Linked DNA regions of Ovis aries. The protein of the gene in region 1 binds, or shares a complex with, the protein of each later gene. Links are inferred from orthologs where the notes say so. Each region holds a gene or a part of one and is shown in the gene's direction. Other genes may lie near its edges.

Region 1 (8,250 bases):
AATGTTCCTTCGGCCAACAGACATTCGTTTAGCAGTTACTCTGTAAAGACTTGTGCGCTAGGTACTGGCTGGGAGGAAGTTAAAGAGACCTCCAGGAATATATTCAGTTTGCTGAGGGAGGCCACATGGTCTGAACAGAACCACAGAACACAAGAGCTTTACACACACAAAGCGTTCTAGGCACATCACTACAGAGGACATTACCTCAAGGACACTGGTACCACATCCAGTGGGGGCTAAGAGAATTGACAGGCTGTGTTCATGATATCCCTGGTCCCTTGAAGAAGCCCTTTTCGTTTCATTTGAGTGATAGGCAGTCAGGAAGCAGAGTGGACATAGCCTCTCATGGACTGGTTCTGCTTGAGGACTTAACGTCACAGGAGCCTCTGTCGAGGTCTGGGAATTTGAAGGAGCTGGGTGAGGTGAGCCCTTCAGGTAGAGCTCTTAGGAAACTGAACCTTCTGTGGGTAGCATGCAGTGAGATGGGTGGTTCAGTTGTCCCTCCTTGCCGACACTGATTTCAGAACCAGGAGAACACCTTAGCCAGAGAGAAAAACATTAGTTCAGAATTACTTTCATGTCCAAACTGAAAGGTTCAGAATAGGAAGAAAGCATTAGAAAGCCCTGGAAGGCTAGGGTGGCATTTGTTAAGCCCCTGCTAGGTGCTTTTACATCAGGGAAGTCAGCTGCTGCATTCTGTGACCCAGTCAGGTAGATAATCATGTCCATTTTACAGAAGAGTCAGACTAGACCTAGACTTGTGTGGAGTCACCCCAGACCCAACTTACCTGGTACAGAACTCTCAATTCAGATGGCAGTCTGCGCGCAGCACTCAAGAGGCCGTGCATACTCTCCTGTAAGCGGCCAGGCAAGTCATAGGCCGTATTTGGGTGGTTTTCTATGCAGGAGGGAGACAGTGCGCTTAGGATTTGAAAACCAGAAAGAATTAAAGCCAAAACCTAGTAGATGTAGTAGCCAAAAGCTAGTCAGGATTAGAAGGTACAGATGATGAGAGCAAAAGAGCATTGACAGTAGTCGGTGATGGGAGTGCAGGTCACCAAACTCTACCTATCCTTCAAAGATGGTCTCTAGCTAAAGTGCTTAGAACTGAGTCTTTTTTATTAGAAGGGAGTGTGCTGGAGCAGGGAGAAAAGAGCTATGTTGTTTCCTTCTGTGACTGCCCCTTGGAGATGCAGTTGGCCACCGTTGGCTGAAGAGGAATTTCCAGCAAGAAGCATGATGGGAAAGGGGTCCAAGATCACGTGGGCCCATCTACTACGTGCAGACTTCGGCTTTCTTCACTGTCTTGAATAGGGAACTTCTACTTGAGAATCCAGAACGTTTGAGTGACTTGAAGAACATCAACCTCAGTTTCTTTTAAGGGTTTTAATCTTAAGATGTTGCCAAGAATGAACCTAACAGAAAATGTTCAAGCTCTATGGAAAACATTAAAATACTACGAATGACCCAGAAGAAGACTGGAACAAACGGGAAGATAGACCAAGTTGTTAAACAGGAGCAGTCAATGGCGTCAGTCTTCCAAAGTTAAAGTAACGATTTAGTGCCATCCCAGTGAGACATACCAATACAATTACAGTTAAGTTCACATGGAGAAAAAAATGGGGTGCCTGATCCTAATGTTAAAGCACATTAAACTGTAATAATAAAGCTGTCATTATGGTGCATGAATGAGTAGTAGGTCAAGAGAATATAATGGAAAGTGTAGATGTAAGAATTTATATGGTAAATACAGCATCTGAAACCAGTGAGAAAAAGATGGATTGTTCAGAAAATAGTGATGGAACAACTGGGTACTCCTCTGGAGGAGGTAAACTTGGCTCTATATTTCACACCATAAGCCAACACATAACTTCAAAGTGGTTAAAGATTCTAAATGCAAAAAAATTCAAATAAAACTCCTTTAAGGCCCCAAATACCGTAAGCCAAGTCAAAATTCTACTGACTAAGATAAAGCTCATCTCTCAGGGCAAATCCTCCTAGTATGTAAATAGCTCTGGGAGCTGATCCAAAAATACCAACAACCTAATAGAAAAATGAACAGATAGTAAAAGAAAAACAGTTTTCAGTTCATGATAAGAGAAATGAAAATTAAAAGATGGCACTTTTCACTTAAATAGATTGGCAAAAATCTTAGTGCTTGTAAAGACACTGTGTACAAGGCTGTGAGGAAGCAGGCATTAGTACCGCATTGCTTGTGGGAGTGTACATTGATACCTCTCTGAAAAGCAATTCGGTAGCATGTATCCAAATTTTAAAATGCATCTGTCCTTTGACCTAGCAATTCCATTTGGGCTGGGCAAGTCATTAGTCTCTCTCTGCCTGTCTCCTTATCTGTAAGAAGTGGATGGTTCTACCTCACAGGATTGCTGTGAGAGTTACATTAGAATGATGCACATACAGCACTTAGTGGCTGGCACAAGGGAAGTGCTTCAGAAATGCCAGTGCCACAGTAAGGGCAGTCGTGTGCGTTGCCTTCTCCCCATGCTCCATGCTACTACAGTGTGCTTGGTGCTTTTTTGTATTGCCTCATTTAGCCCTCCAGTCAATGCTAGGATTGCCGGCAGTGAGCCTCTGAGGAGACTGAGGCACAGAGAGATGAAGTGGGTGGTCAAGCAGGATTCAAGCCAGGGCAGATGCCCAAGATGCGTTGCCCAGCCAGTCTATTAGATGCAGTGGTGTGATGAACGCTTCAAGGGAGGGTGTTCTCTCCAGGACTAGACTTCCAAAAAGAGCTTGAAGAATCCAGGAAGGAGACAGGGCTGGTGGGGTGATTGATGCCCTTGAGATCCAGCTAAGAAACTTGGACTAGTTAATAATAATAATACAATGAAAGAGTCTCCATCTGTTGAGGGTGTGCTCTTAAGTATTTCCATTAAGTAATTTAAGGCTTCCCTGGTGGCTCTAAAGACGGTAAAGAATCTGCAATGTGGGAGACCCAGGTTCAATCCCTGGGTCGGGAAGATCTGCCTGGAAAAGGAAATGGCTACCACTCCAGTATTCTTGCCTGGAAAATCCCATGGGCAGAGGAGGGTTACATCCCTGCCAGGTTACAGTCAGTCCATGGAGTCACAGGACTAAGTGACTCACTTTTGTTTCCATTAAAAACTACATTAATCCGTCAAAACTACTCCAGCAAAGTATATTTATTAAAACCAATTGCACACAAAAGGGAAACGCCAGGAGTCAGAGAAGGGGTGTAAGTTGGAATGTGACTTGATCAGTTGGGCATTTTAGAAAGATCCCTCCAACCGTGGGCTGAACTGACAGGAGTTGTTAACCCTAGCAAACTACCTTGAATTTCATACATTAAAAAAAATAATGATAACATTTGTCATTTTCTTCTTTCACCCTACAACTTATTTTCACTGTAGAAAATATGAAAAATACAAGAAAGTGTAAAGGAGTATAAAAAATTGTTTAACTCCACCTTCCAGAGACATCCCAATGGATATTTTTTTCCAATCTTTTTCCCCTCTCTGTGCAAAAAATATGCAGTCATTAGAATGGCTGATGGGCAGAATATGGGGAGACGCCCCTGTTAAAGCGTCCTGACAATTCCCTCCTTTCTTTCTCTACGTCTTCTAGGTCCACCACAAGAGGCCGACTGATTTTTCCCACGTGTCAGGCAAAGGCCATAGGACTTGGCGCCACCACCCTCGCTCGCCTCAGGCCTGGTCTCTAGGGGGCGCTGCCGTAAGACCCGGAGGCTAAAAAGGAAACCGGTGCGAAAACGCGTTGGAACTTGGGCTCCGCGGCTTCCCGTAGCCGGCATTTCCAACATGGCTGCTGCCCAAGATGTCCACGTCCGTATCTGTAACCAAGAGATTGTCAAATTCGATCTGGAGGTGAAGGCGCTTATCCAGGTACTAATGCCCGGGGTCCCCGCCAGGGTCCAGAAGCCCTAAATCCCAGCTCAGCTGGCCTTCTGTGAGCTCAGCGGCCTTACTCCCGAGCTTTCCGCCCTTGGTCATGTCTCCGAGGCCACTGGCCCAGCTCCCTGCCCGCTACCCCTCAACTGTCTCGCCCCATGGCCCCTCCCCTGGATCGTTGGCTTTGGTATTCCGTCCGACTGCCGTTAGCTCGCCCTCTTCCAGGACACCCCGTCCTCTACCTCCACTCCTAACTGGGCTTCCCCTATGTGGCCGCTCCCCTACACACCCCTGGCCGTCACCTCGCCACCCCCCAGCCAGCCTCAAAACATACCTGTCATCCTGCCTGGCCCCGCCTTCTGATCCCGTCCTCCTCATGCTTCAGTAGCGTCCTGTGGGCCATCAGCCTCGCCCCCTGCTGGTCTGATGCCCCGTGGCACCAAAGGCCACCTGGCACAGGAGGTACTGGGTGAAATGAACGTGACCTAGACCGTAGTTGTGATTTTGTAAATGAGGAAGGAGTCTGCCTGAGCAGAAAGTAGATAATGGCAAAACTGGGACGCGGACAATGAAAGTCATCCTAGAAAAAATTCTTGGCGTCTACTTCGTTTAACTGATGGGGCGATTGAGATCCTTTGCCTAAGCCAATTAAGGGTAGAAGGTAATAGTTCAGTAAACCAGTTGGCATAGGCAAGAGTTGGGAATGTAGAAATAGTTCCTTTAGTTTATCAAAAAGAAACCAAGAGTTTTAAACCTTTCTTTTGGGCAAATGGTTTCCATTTCCAGCAGTGTTACTCAACCTTAGATGCTAAGTAAGAGTCTTCATCTAGCTGTGGTAAAAGGTGAAGGAAAGTAAGCTCCCTACGGAAATCAGGTGCAAAATAAACCAAATTAATAGCCGTTAAATGTTGCATGGAACTGTGATTTAATGAGTAATCCAGAGAACAAGAACAACTTGATACAAACATTTAAACTTTTTGAACTTCACCTTTCCCATGTATTAACTACAAAACATCTGGGCCAATTCTAGAAGAATTAATTTAGGATTCATAAAAAGGAAACTGGCTTTTCAGGTGATCTAAATTTCCTCAGCCCCATTTTGCACTCTCCAAGATTCACTTTCTCCTGAAGAGAACAATTGATTATAGCTAGATTTAGCACATCCTTACAGTGTGGCAACTCCTGCTAAGCCCTTTATGTGGGTACCTGGTTATGAAGTGGGTAATGATGGGTAAACAGACACAGAAGCTTCAGTAACTTTTTCAGGATTATACATCTGATAAATTGCTGCAACTAGAATTTGAATCCACATGGTCTGACTCTAGGGCCTACTTTTTACCTGGCCCTGGTAATTCTGAATGTCCAGAAACAAATTCGAAATCTACATTTGAACATGTCTGTAAACTGTGTGATTTATCATATTAATAGATGGTGTGTAAAATCAGTTCAAGCAGTTAAAGAGGTTCGTCTTGTCATATGCCGAGAATTTAGCATCCTCATTTTTAGGTTGGAAAGACCTGAAGTTATGGTGCCCTCTCAGGTGTTCGTTCTTGTCGGATATGCAAGCTGCTTTAAGTCTTTCATAATGGCTGGATGCTGTTCTGTTAAACATCAAGACTTATTAGTTCCTTAGTCCGTTTCTGGTTTTAAAAACGTGTTTATTAATTAATTTTTGGTTGCACTGAGTCTTCGCTGCTGCGCATGGGCTTTCGCTGACCGCACAAGCAGGGGCTACTCTTTGTTGCAGCGCATGCGCTTCTCATTGCTGCAGCTTCTCTTGTTCCGGAGCACAGGCTCTAGGCCCCGCAGGGCTTCGGTAGTTGCAGAGGCAGGCTCCGCAGCTGTGGTGTGCGGGCTTAGTTGCTCCGCAGCATCGGATTTCCTATCCACTGTACCACCAGGGAAGTCGCACTGTTGTCTTTCTGCTTATGCTTCTATGTTGCTCGCTCAGACTTGACTCCAAAGAGGGATGAAAAAAAAGTAAATTATAATGCTTCTGCTTGTGTTACAGAGGTAAACAGCAGAGATTAGGATGAATTACAGCCAGTAGGTCCAACTTAGTTGTGGTCTAAGCCAGCTCTCTCATTGTACAGCTGGTGTCATTTCCTCTCATTGCCTTGAGAAAGGCCCGTTCATCTCTTCAATGTCTCCTAGGATATTCGAGATTGTTCAGGACCATTAAGTGCACTTACCGAACTGAACACTAAAGTGAAAGAGAAGTTTCAGCAACTGCGGCACAGAATACAGGTGAGTGAGTGCGCAGCTGGGACGCTGCGCCTGGGGAAAGAAAAGAAAGTGCATTGGAGAGGTTTTGCATTGTGTTAAGTTAATGATTTGTTTAAAATCTAGATTCTTTAATGGAGCGTAAACTCAATGACAGCAGGCCTGTTCCTGGTGATCGCTGCGTATCCCTCATGATGGTACAGATTGAGCACCATCGTTGAGTGGAAGAATGGGTGTGTGGGAAGAAGGGAGGGAGGGAGGCAAGGTGGGGGAAATGGAAGTTCTGTCACAGAGAAGCAGAGAGAGTTCTAGAGGAAAAGAAAGTGAGGGCTGCTGCCCCTCACTGAGGTGGGTGGCTGTGTCCTGGGGTTTGATTATTTGGGGCTCTGAGTCTTTCTTTTCAGAAGGCCTTACCTGTGGGGCTTTCGTGCGACCTGGGTTGAATGTCTCTTCAGAGGTTTTTGCATTTGCTTTTGCCAGGTCTCCTGGGATTACCACAGGTCTGGGAGCACTTTTTATGTTTGTTTCTCCTTGTGGAGGTTCTTGAACCACTCAGGAAGGATGAACTTGGACCCTCGATCCATGTGAGGGGAGTGCCATGGTTATAATCGGGAGAGACATTTATATCCCTCTAGCCACGTCTCACAACAGAAAACTCCACAACTTCTCTGTGCTGGTTGACAGACGTTTTCCTAGCTCACCTTTTCACTGAGGGTATTTGTATCCCTTTGTGCTCCTGGCTTTGCAGTGGTCTCAGTTCCAGTTCCCAGCTTCAGGTGGCCAAAGCTTTGTTTTCTGTCCCCACATGGACTTGAAAGCCGTGTTTGCCATTCAGTCTGAAATATGTACCAAGACTGAGAGCCTGTAGAAACAAATAGCAGTGTGTTATTTCCATCATATCTCAGAGTGGGATCAGTAGGCTCCTATGTTACTGTAGTTTTTTCCCTTTTCCTTTCAGGCACGTCCTGGACCGCAGGAACGCAGGAACGCATCCCCTGCTCCAGGGCAGCCTCACACCCCTCACAGGAAGGCTGCTCTGACTCATAGTTTCTTTCTCATTTTGAGTTCTTGAGGATGGTCCTTTCTTTCTTTTTAGACAGCTTTCTATGTAAAAGGATGTTTGTTGTGTATGAACCAGCATTCCTGAGTCTTCTGTTCTAGGAGGGTTTTCAAGTGCTGTTGCATAACTGGTAGAAATAGAAGTGCTTTCCAGTTTTTCATTACCTTTCAAAATCATTTTAACTTAGAGCTGATTTCCTCCCAAAGGAGCTTGAGCAGTCGGCTAAAGAGCAAGACAAAGAGTCAGAGAAGCAAGTTCTGCTCCAAGAAGTGGAGAATCACAAAAAGCAGATGCTCAGGTGGGTGGGGCCTGGCCTCCGGCCAGTGGCCTCCGCTGGGCCCCCTGCTCCCGGTGAGGCTTGTGCCTGAGTTTGCCTAATAAACCTGCTGAAGCTAGGGGGTAAGCCGGGGCTCTTTGGTAGCTGGGACTGTGTATAGTGTACAAAAGCATATTTAACATTATGCTGTATTTTATATTTTTTTAAAAGCAAAAAATTCGTTGCTTTTGTAATATAGGGTCCTTTTTAATCTAAAGAGAATTGATAGCAGAAAAAGTCCACCAAAGGTGCCAAAATGATTGGGGACCACTGGTGTAAAGAACAGCAAACCTTGAAGAAATATTGAATAAAACTGTCTTATACTGATTTTTCTACTTCTTACTGCCTATATTGATGGAGCAGCTAATGGGTCAATAACTGTTGTCCTGGGTACTGGTGAAACAAAGATGAACAAGGCATAGTTCTCCAGGAGCAGAACCAAGCCACGCCGCGGGCAGAACAGTAATGTGTAGGAGATGACTTTGAACGGGGCCGCGTGCGCCCAGCTGGGCAGTTTGGCTGTTTCCCTTTAGTGGAGCCATTGCAGGCTGTAAGCACAGGGACGCTGTGACCGGTCTTCTCCCTCTGGCTGCCCTGGGGGAGAGGGACTGTTGTGGGTGGTAGGAGAATGGAAACAGTTTCTGGGGCAGCCAAGAAGAGGACATGGTGGGAAGGGTGACGGACTCTGGGCTACACACAGGTAGCCTCCCCATCACTCCCTGGCTGGAAGGCTACTGTGACTTGAACTGACTGACAGCCTG
Region 2 (8,087 bases), on another chromosome or scaffold:
CTCCATGAAGCTGAGGAGGACACGAATCACATCCATGTTCACCCCTAGGAACTCCAAGGAACCTCCGTGTGGCTCCAGGGCGAGGAGAACATCCAGACACTCGACAGGCAAGTTCCCCAGGAGGTTCACTGCGTGGCTGGGGGCAGATGGAAGGGGCACTTGGTGAATACCGACCCCTGCTGCCAGCTGCTGGGGCCGTAAATGCCGTGAACCAGTGTCTGGGGGCCCAAGCAGCAGAACAAGGTACCAGAGGCAAGAGTGCTACTTCCTGTAAATGCCCAACCCACCACGTATCTAGGTTGAGGCACCACAGCTAAAACTGAGAACCGGCCTAGGCATAGGCCACCAAGAAGGAAAGTGAGGAAGCACACCACCCTATCGATACCACAGCGCCCGCTGCCCCTACCCAAGGCCCCCTGGCACCGTCCTGCCTTGGACTCACACCTCCGATCCTAGACCATAAGTGCTGGAGCGCCCCAGAAACACACTTTTGTCTGGTTCCACCCAGAAGGATGAAGACTCTAAGGCTGGGAACCACCACAGCGACCTGTGAGCAAACCACCCCCATTCCTCCCCACCCCCCCGCATGACAGGCACCCCCCTCACCCGTGGAACTCCTCTGTGCGGTCTCCAGCAGCAGCAACCATCACACAGTGCCGCAGAAGGGTCCCCAAGTGCCGGTATAGAGCAGTGTCTTCCTGACCAGACAGACAGGAGTTCCTGTGAGAGCGCGCCCCACTGGCCCCACTGCTGCCAACTGAGAGTCTACCTTCTGGACACCCCTGCAAGACCTCATGCATTAACAACTATGCTTCTCTACTGCACACCCTGGTGCTTGTCCTCTCCCAGGAGACCTCAAGAGAACTCTCGGTTAAGAAAATCAATGGATCCCCTTGGCACACAGCTGCTCTGTGCTTCAGCCCCACTCAGTCTCACCACGAAGAATCTCACAGCCTCCCCTGCACACCACACAGCCCTCCAGCCAGGCTGCAAGAGCCAGTTATGCTCTCCAACTCCCTCAGAAAACTTCCTTGAGACCGGTCCAAGATAGGTGTTCCCTGCTTCTCTCGACTGGCTAAGCACACCTAATCCAGAAATTTGAAGGAACCCAGCAAAGCAGCATGTGCAGGAAATGTCCAAGCTGTTAAACCCCACCCACAGGTTGAGGTCCGCCCTCACCTCATCCACCTCCCTCTTGATGGAGTCGAAGGTGATGTTGAAAAGCACTTTGAGGATCTCCATGGCTCGCTCAGTCTCCTGGGGAGGCAGGAGCTCAGGGTGCCTCTCGCCCTCAGTCATTCCCAACGTCAGCTCCAGCGCCCTGGTCAGCAGGCGCACTCCCTGCAGCTCCTGAAACAGCTGCTGGCGCACGTCGGTGCGGAGTGCAGTTAGCAAGAACAGAAGACGCAAGTCAAAGAACTGGACGTCGTGCGGGAAGCTACTCCGGCTGTGCAGTCCGACGCGCTCTGCGAGCCTCACCACTAGCCCCGCCTCTGCTGCCAGGACCTGTGCCCCGGGGCTGCTTAGCACGAGGTTGCACAGGCACTTAAGGGACTCGAGTACGACATCCACGTTCAGCGGCTCAGGGACCGACCCTTGGGAGGCGGAGATGCCAGCATAGCAGGCAAGAGCCTGCAGGCTCCGGCGACTGGTGAAGGAGTCCAGGCAGCTGCGGTCCCTGGACAAGATGCGGATGCTCTGCAGCCAGATAACGCGGCGGGAGGGTGGCAGGCCCTGCTCCAGGACCGAGACAAGCAGCTTCGCCAGTCTCTGCGGGCAGGGAGAAGAGCCGTTCCACCAGGCCCTTCTACCTGGGCCACCCAATCACGCCCCTCCACCTCCGGTGAGCACCCACCTTCCTATCCTCCTGTTGCGCATCATCAAACGTGAAACTCTGGGAGTTCTGCAAAGAAACCCAGAGGCTAGAAGGCACAGGCCTACCGCGTCAGAACCCGGGTTCCGCGGATGGGGGCCTGAGGCCGAAGGCACCTCTATGAACAAATGGCGCCCCAGCCCCACACACCGGCACCCTCGCAACTCCTCAGAGAGTCGGTGCTCCTCCCCATCGCTCTCCCTTCCACCCTCAGCCCCTTGCCACGCTCACCGCTCTCGCCGCCCCTCCAGCCGGCCACGCGCGCGGGCCCCACCCGGCCCCACCTCCTCTCTGCACGTCCCAAGTCTACAACTCCCGCTCACCTCCCGGTTGTACGCGCGCAAAGCTTCCATAACCACGTCCTCCTCCCCCGTCTCCAAGGCATCCGCAACTGCACGGGGCTCCATGGCACCTCCAGGACCCGATGCCAGGAAGGCCGGAGGCTCCCGGCTTCGCGATTCCGGGCAAGCGTCTGCCCGCCCCGCCCAGGCTCGGCGCGCGGGGGAGGCCGGGACGGGGCGTGCGCGGCGCCGTGGGGCGGGGCCTGGGTTGCGCGCAGGGGAGGCCGGGACCGGGCGGGCGCCGAGCTCTCTGGGTTGCGTGGAGCCTTAAAGGGGCGGGGCCTGGGCTGCGCGCGTGGGAGGCCGGGACGGGGCGTGCGCGGCGCCGTGGGGCGGGGCCTGGGTTGCGCGCAGGGGAGGCCGGGACCCGGCGGGCGCAGAGCTCTCTGGTCTGTGTGGCGCCTTAAAGGGGCGAGGCCTGGAACAGCTGGATAGAACTTGAAGACTTTGCTGCCGAGTCAGCTTTGGCCTTAAACTCCGGCTCGGTGATCGTCCGACTTATGGGCCAGAATCGCCCTGAACCGAGCAGTGAGCCTCACTCCTTGGGCTAGGATTCCTGACAGGAGAGGGCCTCAGCCCCGCACCCCTCCATCACACGCACACCAACACCGCTCTTGATGCACAGAACGAATGAAACGTCCAGGGAAAAGTCGAGGTGGAAAGGAGTTTACAACCTCCGGACCACTTGGTTTCTAAACAGATGTTTGAGTGCCTACTGCACGCGAGGAGCCGGGATGCGGGTGAATAGAACCCACAGGTTCCTGCCTTCTTGGCGCTTATGTGCCGGATGTGAAGACTAAAACGGGCAAACAAGACGACGTTAGGCAGCTATAGTGCTGTGATTGAATAACAAAAGGGGCTTGATGGGCTGCAAGGAGATCTGAAGAAGTGCCAGTCAGTTTTTGCTGAGACCGGAGCCTAGGGAGTGAGCCAGGAAAGGCTCCGAAGGAAGGTTCTGCAAGGCAGGAGTGGCCAGTGCGAGGGTGGGAATGGCCGTGGAGGGAGAGAGAAACATCACTGTTGGAGCTGAGAGAAAAGAGAGACGGGGTCGGGGTGGGGGGAAGGTCAGGAGGAAGACAAAGTCTGACTGTGTGCGGTGACTTCCCTGCTGTGTAAGCAGGCACACCTGCTCGTCTGCTTGGGCTGTTTCCTTTTTTGAAAAGCAGAGACGATACAAGTTTCCATTTCAGTGGATTGTCGAGTACATGGCACAGCAATTGCTCCATTACGGGGGGTGGGTAACTTATAACCCATCCACCGGGCAAGAAGGCTTTGTTAAGCATCTACTTTGTCAGGCCCCTTGTCAGCACCGCGTGCAAGGTCAAAAAGCGCTGGCTCCTCCCGTACCCACTCCCCTCACGCTCCCACCCCTCTTCCTGGTTCCTTGTTTTCTTCAGAGGGCTTCACTCCTGCGACTTCTGCACCGCTCGCTCGTTCCAGGCACTGATCTCGTTTGTCCTGCCGGCAGTAACTGGAACCGGGCTTCCCATCGAGTTCGCTCCGGGCCTCAACCCCGGCGGGGTCGCGGCGAGGAGCCTCTTTGGCCCGGGAAAGGCCCGTGTGCTCTTCCCAGTTAGGACCCCGACACCGCCTTAGGCGGGAATGGCTGCTGGAGTGTCTGTGGGCACCATAGTTGCCTCTAAAACCACAAATCATCCAGGAGTCCCGAGAGCAAACGCCAGCCCCATCCCCAAGTCAAACGACGGAAGAAACGTCAGATTCTTCCCGTTCCCACCGCCGAGTCTGTCGGCCAGATCTCGGCCGGAAGTGGGGGGCCTGAGGCGGAAGGGGTGGGGCCGGAAGCCCCTTCCGGCGACTGCGCCACGTCCGAGGAGGCTGTAATCAAGCGGTGACGGACCCTGGGGTCGGAGCTGGACGCGATGGCGGACTGGGCTCGGGGTGAGCGCGGAAGGGCGGAGGCGGATGGCTACGGGGCTCGCCGGGGCCGACTCCGCTGCTCTTAGGAACCGCCTTCGCCTTTCTCCGCGGCACTAGGTGGCGTTGTTGGCAAGACACTGCGGGCGGGCGTAGTTTGGGCAGGGCGGCCAGGGTGCAGCCCGCCGCGCTGTGGATGAGTCGCTGGGTCCCTTTGGGCGCTCCTGCCCAGCTGCTGCGTGAAACTGCGGGGTCCGGATGCCCGCAGTCCCCACCCGTTTCGTCCCTGGGAGATGACTCTGCACGGGACCTCGGCCGGGTCTCCTGGTTGACGGGTCCCTGAGGCTAGACCCCCTCGGAGTGAGAGCTGCGCGTGATAGGAGGGCCCAAGCATGCCTAGTACCCCACTTGCCTTCTGGGAGTCTCTCTTCACCTGCGAAGTGGGATGCTGATGCTTGTTTCGCTGGGCTGTTGTGACTTTTAAGGAGTTAAGGGTACAGTCGGTCGGTAGGACCTTTACACCTCTTATTTTGGGGTTTGTAAGAAGCCATGGTTCCTAGACTGTGCCCGCTTTTGATGAGTCTCCTTGAGGCATCGGGCTCGAGGCAAATGCGCACTCTGAACTTTGTGGGAAACAGTTCTCACCAGCCTGGTAGGGTGGTAATTCTGAATCACCAGGCCCAGCGCCTGTCTCGGGCCAGTTCTCAGCGGGTACCAGGCTCTGGGTGACACACAAGACCCTGTGTGGGATCAGTCTCAAGCCCTGTAAGTCTTACCAGAGCTCATTGGGGTTTATTTTGAGAACAGGTTCTGTGTACCTTGCTAGTGACACCTGCGGAGGGATGGTACAAGTTCCGTCACAGAATGTCTGAAAGTACTGGTTGAACTGAGCCCTTTGGAGGTGCCCGCCCACCCATCCCAGCCTGGATACATGCACAGGACCTGTGCTCACACTGTTGTTTATACAGTCCTCCTCATGTGTGAAGTTGGATCCTGGGTGAGGGTGGGGCCTGCTCAGCAGACACACAGAGGCCGGGTCCCCTTAGATGCCTGACTGGGCCAGATGGGATTGGAGGCCGGAGGCCACAAAGGGCCGAGATTATAGGGGTCACGGTTCATGAGCGGAGTCATGCTTTCAGCCTCTCTCTCTCCTCACAGCTCAGAGCCCTGGTGCTGTGGAGGAGATTCTAGACCGAGAAAACAAGCGGATGGCTGACAGCTTGGCCTCCAAGGTCACCAGGCTCAAATCGGTCAGTGGTGGTCCTCTCCTTTTGCCTCCACCTGGCATCTGGAGGGGGTGGTCAGCGGGCAGTAAAGACCTGGATGGGTTTCAGGTAGTTCCGTTCTCCTTGTCCCACCTGTGGCATACTCATCTGTGCGAGGCCCAGGTGGCATTTGGATCTTCTGATCTCTGTTGATCTTGTTGGGGGTCAGGTGCTGTTCACTGTGTTTGTCCCGGTCTGACCCTGCCCCCTCTGTGTCCTGACCAGCTGGCTCTGGACATCGATAGGGATGCGGAGGACCAGAACCGGTACCTGGACGGCATGGTAAGGGCCTGCGGTTTGCAAGCGTCACGGTCAGCTCAGCTCCCCACCACCTGCTTTGCAGCCCCCATCTGTGTGTGTGTGTTGCAGAGTCACTGTCCCTTTGTGACAATGTTGGAATTTCTCCCTCAGGACTCAGATTTCACAAGTATGACGGGTCTACTCACAGGGAGTGTGAAGCGGTTTTCCACAATGGCGCGATCTGGGCGAGACAACCGGAAGCTTCTTTGTGGTATGGCTGTGGGCCTGATTGTGGCCTTCTTCATCCTCTCCTACCTCCTGTCGAGGGCAAGGACGTGAGCCAATGGGAACTGGCTTCTGTGGGTGCCTGGGGCAACCAGGATTTTCCTCTGTCTGGTGTTTTGGGCTCCAGAGAACTTGTTTTCAAAATACTCCTTTGAAATGAGGATCATGGCTTAGGAATGTTTTTTCTGCGTGGTTGGGAGCCTCTAACCCAGTGAGCTCTTGTTAGCTGGTTCTATGTGTGCAAGGGCCCTATCCCTGTGGGGTAGCCTAGGCCCAGCTCCCTCTGCCACCTTGAGCTCTAGAAGCCCCAGCAGTGTTGGGTCCAAGCAGAGCATCTGGGAATCCTGGACACGGCCGCCTGTGAGCAGCAGTCCTTTCATCGGCCCTTGAGGTTCTGAGCATCTCAAGGCTTCTCTGCGCTGTCTTGGTCTGGATGAGGCTGTGTCTGATGTTTGAGCTGCCTGGAGCTGACACAGGAAGGGGGTGTGGCTGTGAAGCTCAAATCACTGCTGTCACCTCCAACTGAGTGTCCTCAGCCCGGAGACTGCAGTTTCTCTGGCCAGGGCTGCTGGTCATCCATGACCCGGAGAGATTCAAAGGTCCTGCTGAGTGGCCTCTTCCTGCCCTCCAGTCCCGCGACTGAAACCAGGCCCTCGGGGATGGGCAGGGGGTGTGGGTGGAGGAAGGGACTGCAGCGCAGGCTGAGGACTTGGGGCCCAAGGCCTGCAGTTTCCCAGCCGTGTGTCCAGGAGCAGAAGCCGATGTTCTCACGGGATTCAGGATCTGCCCAGCACCAGAGGCCTGCTTCCCGGAGACTAGACCTCTGGAGACATGTCCGTCTGACGCTTCAGAGTCAGGCCCGGTGTGAGGCGGGGCTTTTGTCGGTGTACGCGGGAGGTTTCTGGATAGTGACTTTTCTTAGGAACTGTAGGGCACTTTTTGAGGGTTTGTGGGCAGTTTCCACTAAGCTAACCCTAACCTGCAATGTCTGCCCACCTCTCCCTGGGCCCTCAGTGTCCACTCGGTCAGTCCCCTGCTCCTATGGACTGAACTAACAGGCCCAGCCAAACCAGTGGCTTCGTTGTACCTCCCTGTGAGTCCCCGGTGTCCTCGTCTTCCCATAAAAAACGCTTGTAAGAAGTCGTTGGCTCTGTGTCTTTCCTGGTTCCTGTTCCCATCTTCTTGGGTACGCTCCTCACTCTGACCGTCCAGCTGCCCGCACACTCGTGCCGCGTGTGGGGCATCCGCTCCTCTCGCCACCTTGCCCTCTCCTCTGCCCGTGCGGACCTCGCCTTCTGGCCCTGGCACTCTGCCGCTCCTCTTCCTCTCCCTGGTTCCCTGCCCAGCAGGCCCGGCCTCTCCTCAGACGCTTGCCATGGAGCCCTTTTCTCTCTGCTGCACTTGGCTGGGCCCTTGGCCTCCTGAGTGTTCTGCCTGACGGTCACCATTCCTCCAGTGCGTGCTGCTCACACAGTAAGGTTGGCCTGCTTGCCTCTGTGTCCCTGGGGCTTGGGTTTATCTCTGTCCTCCTTGACATCCCTGCACAGGACCCTGTGGCCGTGCCTTGACCCCCGTTTTGTGTACCACGGCTTTGACTTCGCCCTCTGCCCTCTCACAGTGAACCTAGTCACAGGGACTTGTCCACTGGTCACCAGGCTCAAAGCTGCTACCCATAGAGTGTCTTCATCTGGTCACTGCAGGCACAGCAGATACCCCCAGACCTGAACTCCGTGGCCCCTGCCTTTTCTGGGCCTGCTAACCTTGCTTCCTGAGAAAGTGGCTCAGCCAGGGCAGCCCTCCTCAACTGCCCCGCTCCAAAGCAGACCAGGAATTTGGAGTTCGTGTTTCAGGGTGGTCTTTTCTGAGGAAAGTGAAAGTTGTTCAGTCGTGTCCGACTGTTTGTGACCCCATGGACTGTAGTTCATGGAATTCTCCAAACAAGAATACTGGAGTGGGTAGCCTTTCCCTTCTCCAGGGAGTCTTTCCATCCCAGGGAACGAACCCAGCTCTCCTGCACTGCAGCCAGGGTCTCTACCGACTGGGCTGTCGGTGAAGTCCCTTCTCTGAGGAGGACTTCGCCATCTCTGCTGTGTGGTTTGCCTCAGGTTGCCGTCTGTGCCTCCCTGCTTCTCCATCTCTGTGACTCTGTAGCCTTCCCAGCTATTCGGGGTCTGGGTGTTTGTTTGTCATTGTGTTAGATGAACAGCT

Evidence for each region.
Region 2: BNIP1 (region 1) and BET1L share a complex: the UniProt entries of both Homo sapiens proteins name them as parts of the SNARE complex. The link is inferred for Ovis aries from reciprocal best matches to the Homo sapiens genes BNIP1 and BET1L.

What each region holds. Positions count from the first base shown.
Region 1 is NC_056069.1:5,002,897-5,011,146, forward strand, and holds the start of BNIP1 (vesicle transport protein SEC20), read left to right. Parts: upstream 1-3,791; 5' UTR 3,792-3,800; coding exon 3,801-3,884; intron 3,885-6,044; coding exon 6,045-6,137; intron 6,138-7,379; coding exon 7,380-7,471; intron 7,472-8,250. UniProt on the Homo sapiens protein: As part of a SNARE complex may be involved in endoplasmic reticulum membranes fusion and be required for the maintenance of endoplasmic reticulum organization. Also plays a role in apoptosis.
Region 2 is NC_056074.1:47,475,733-47,483,819, forward strand, and holds BET1L (BET1-like protein), read left to right. Parts: upstream 1-4,028; 5' UTR 4,029-4,094; coding exon 4,095-4,113; intron 4,114-5,247; coding exon 5,248-5,339; intron 5,340-5,579; coding exon 5,580-5,636; intron 5,637-5,765; coding exon 5,766-5,933; 3' UTR 5,934-7,019; downstream 7,020-8,087. Other genes in the region: RIC8A (synembryn-A), read right to left, coding at 1-136, 607-698, 1,180-1,770, 1,856-1,903, 2,197-2,280. UniProt on the Homo sapiens protein: Vesicle SNARE required for targeting and fusion of retrograde transport vesicles with the Golgi complex. Required for the integrity of the Golgi complex.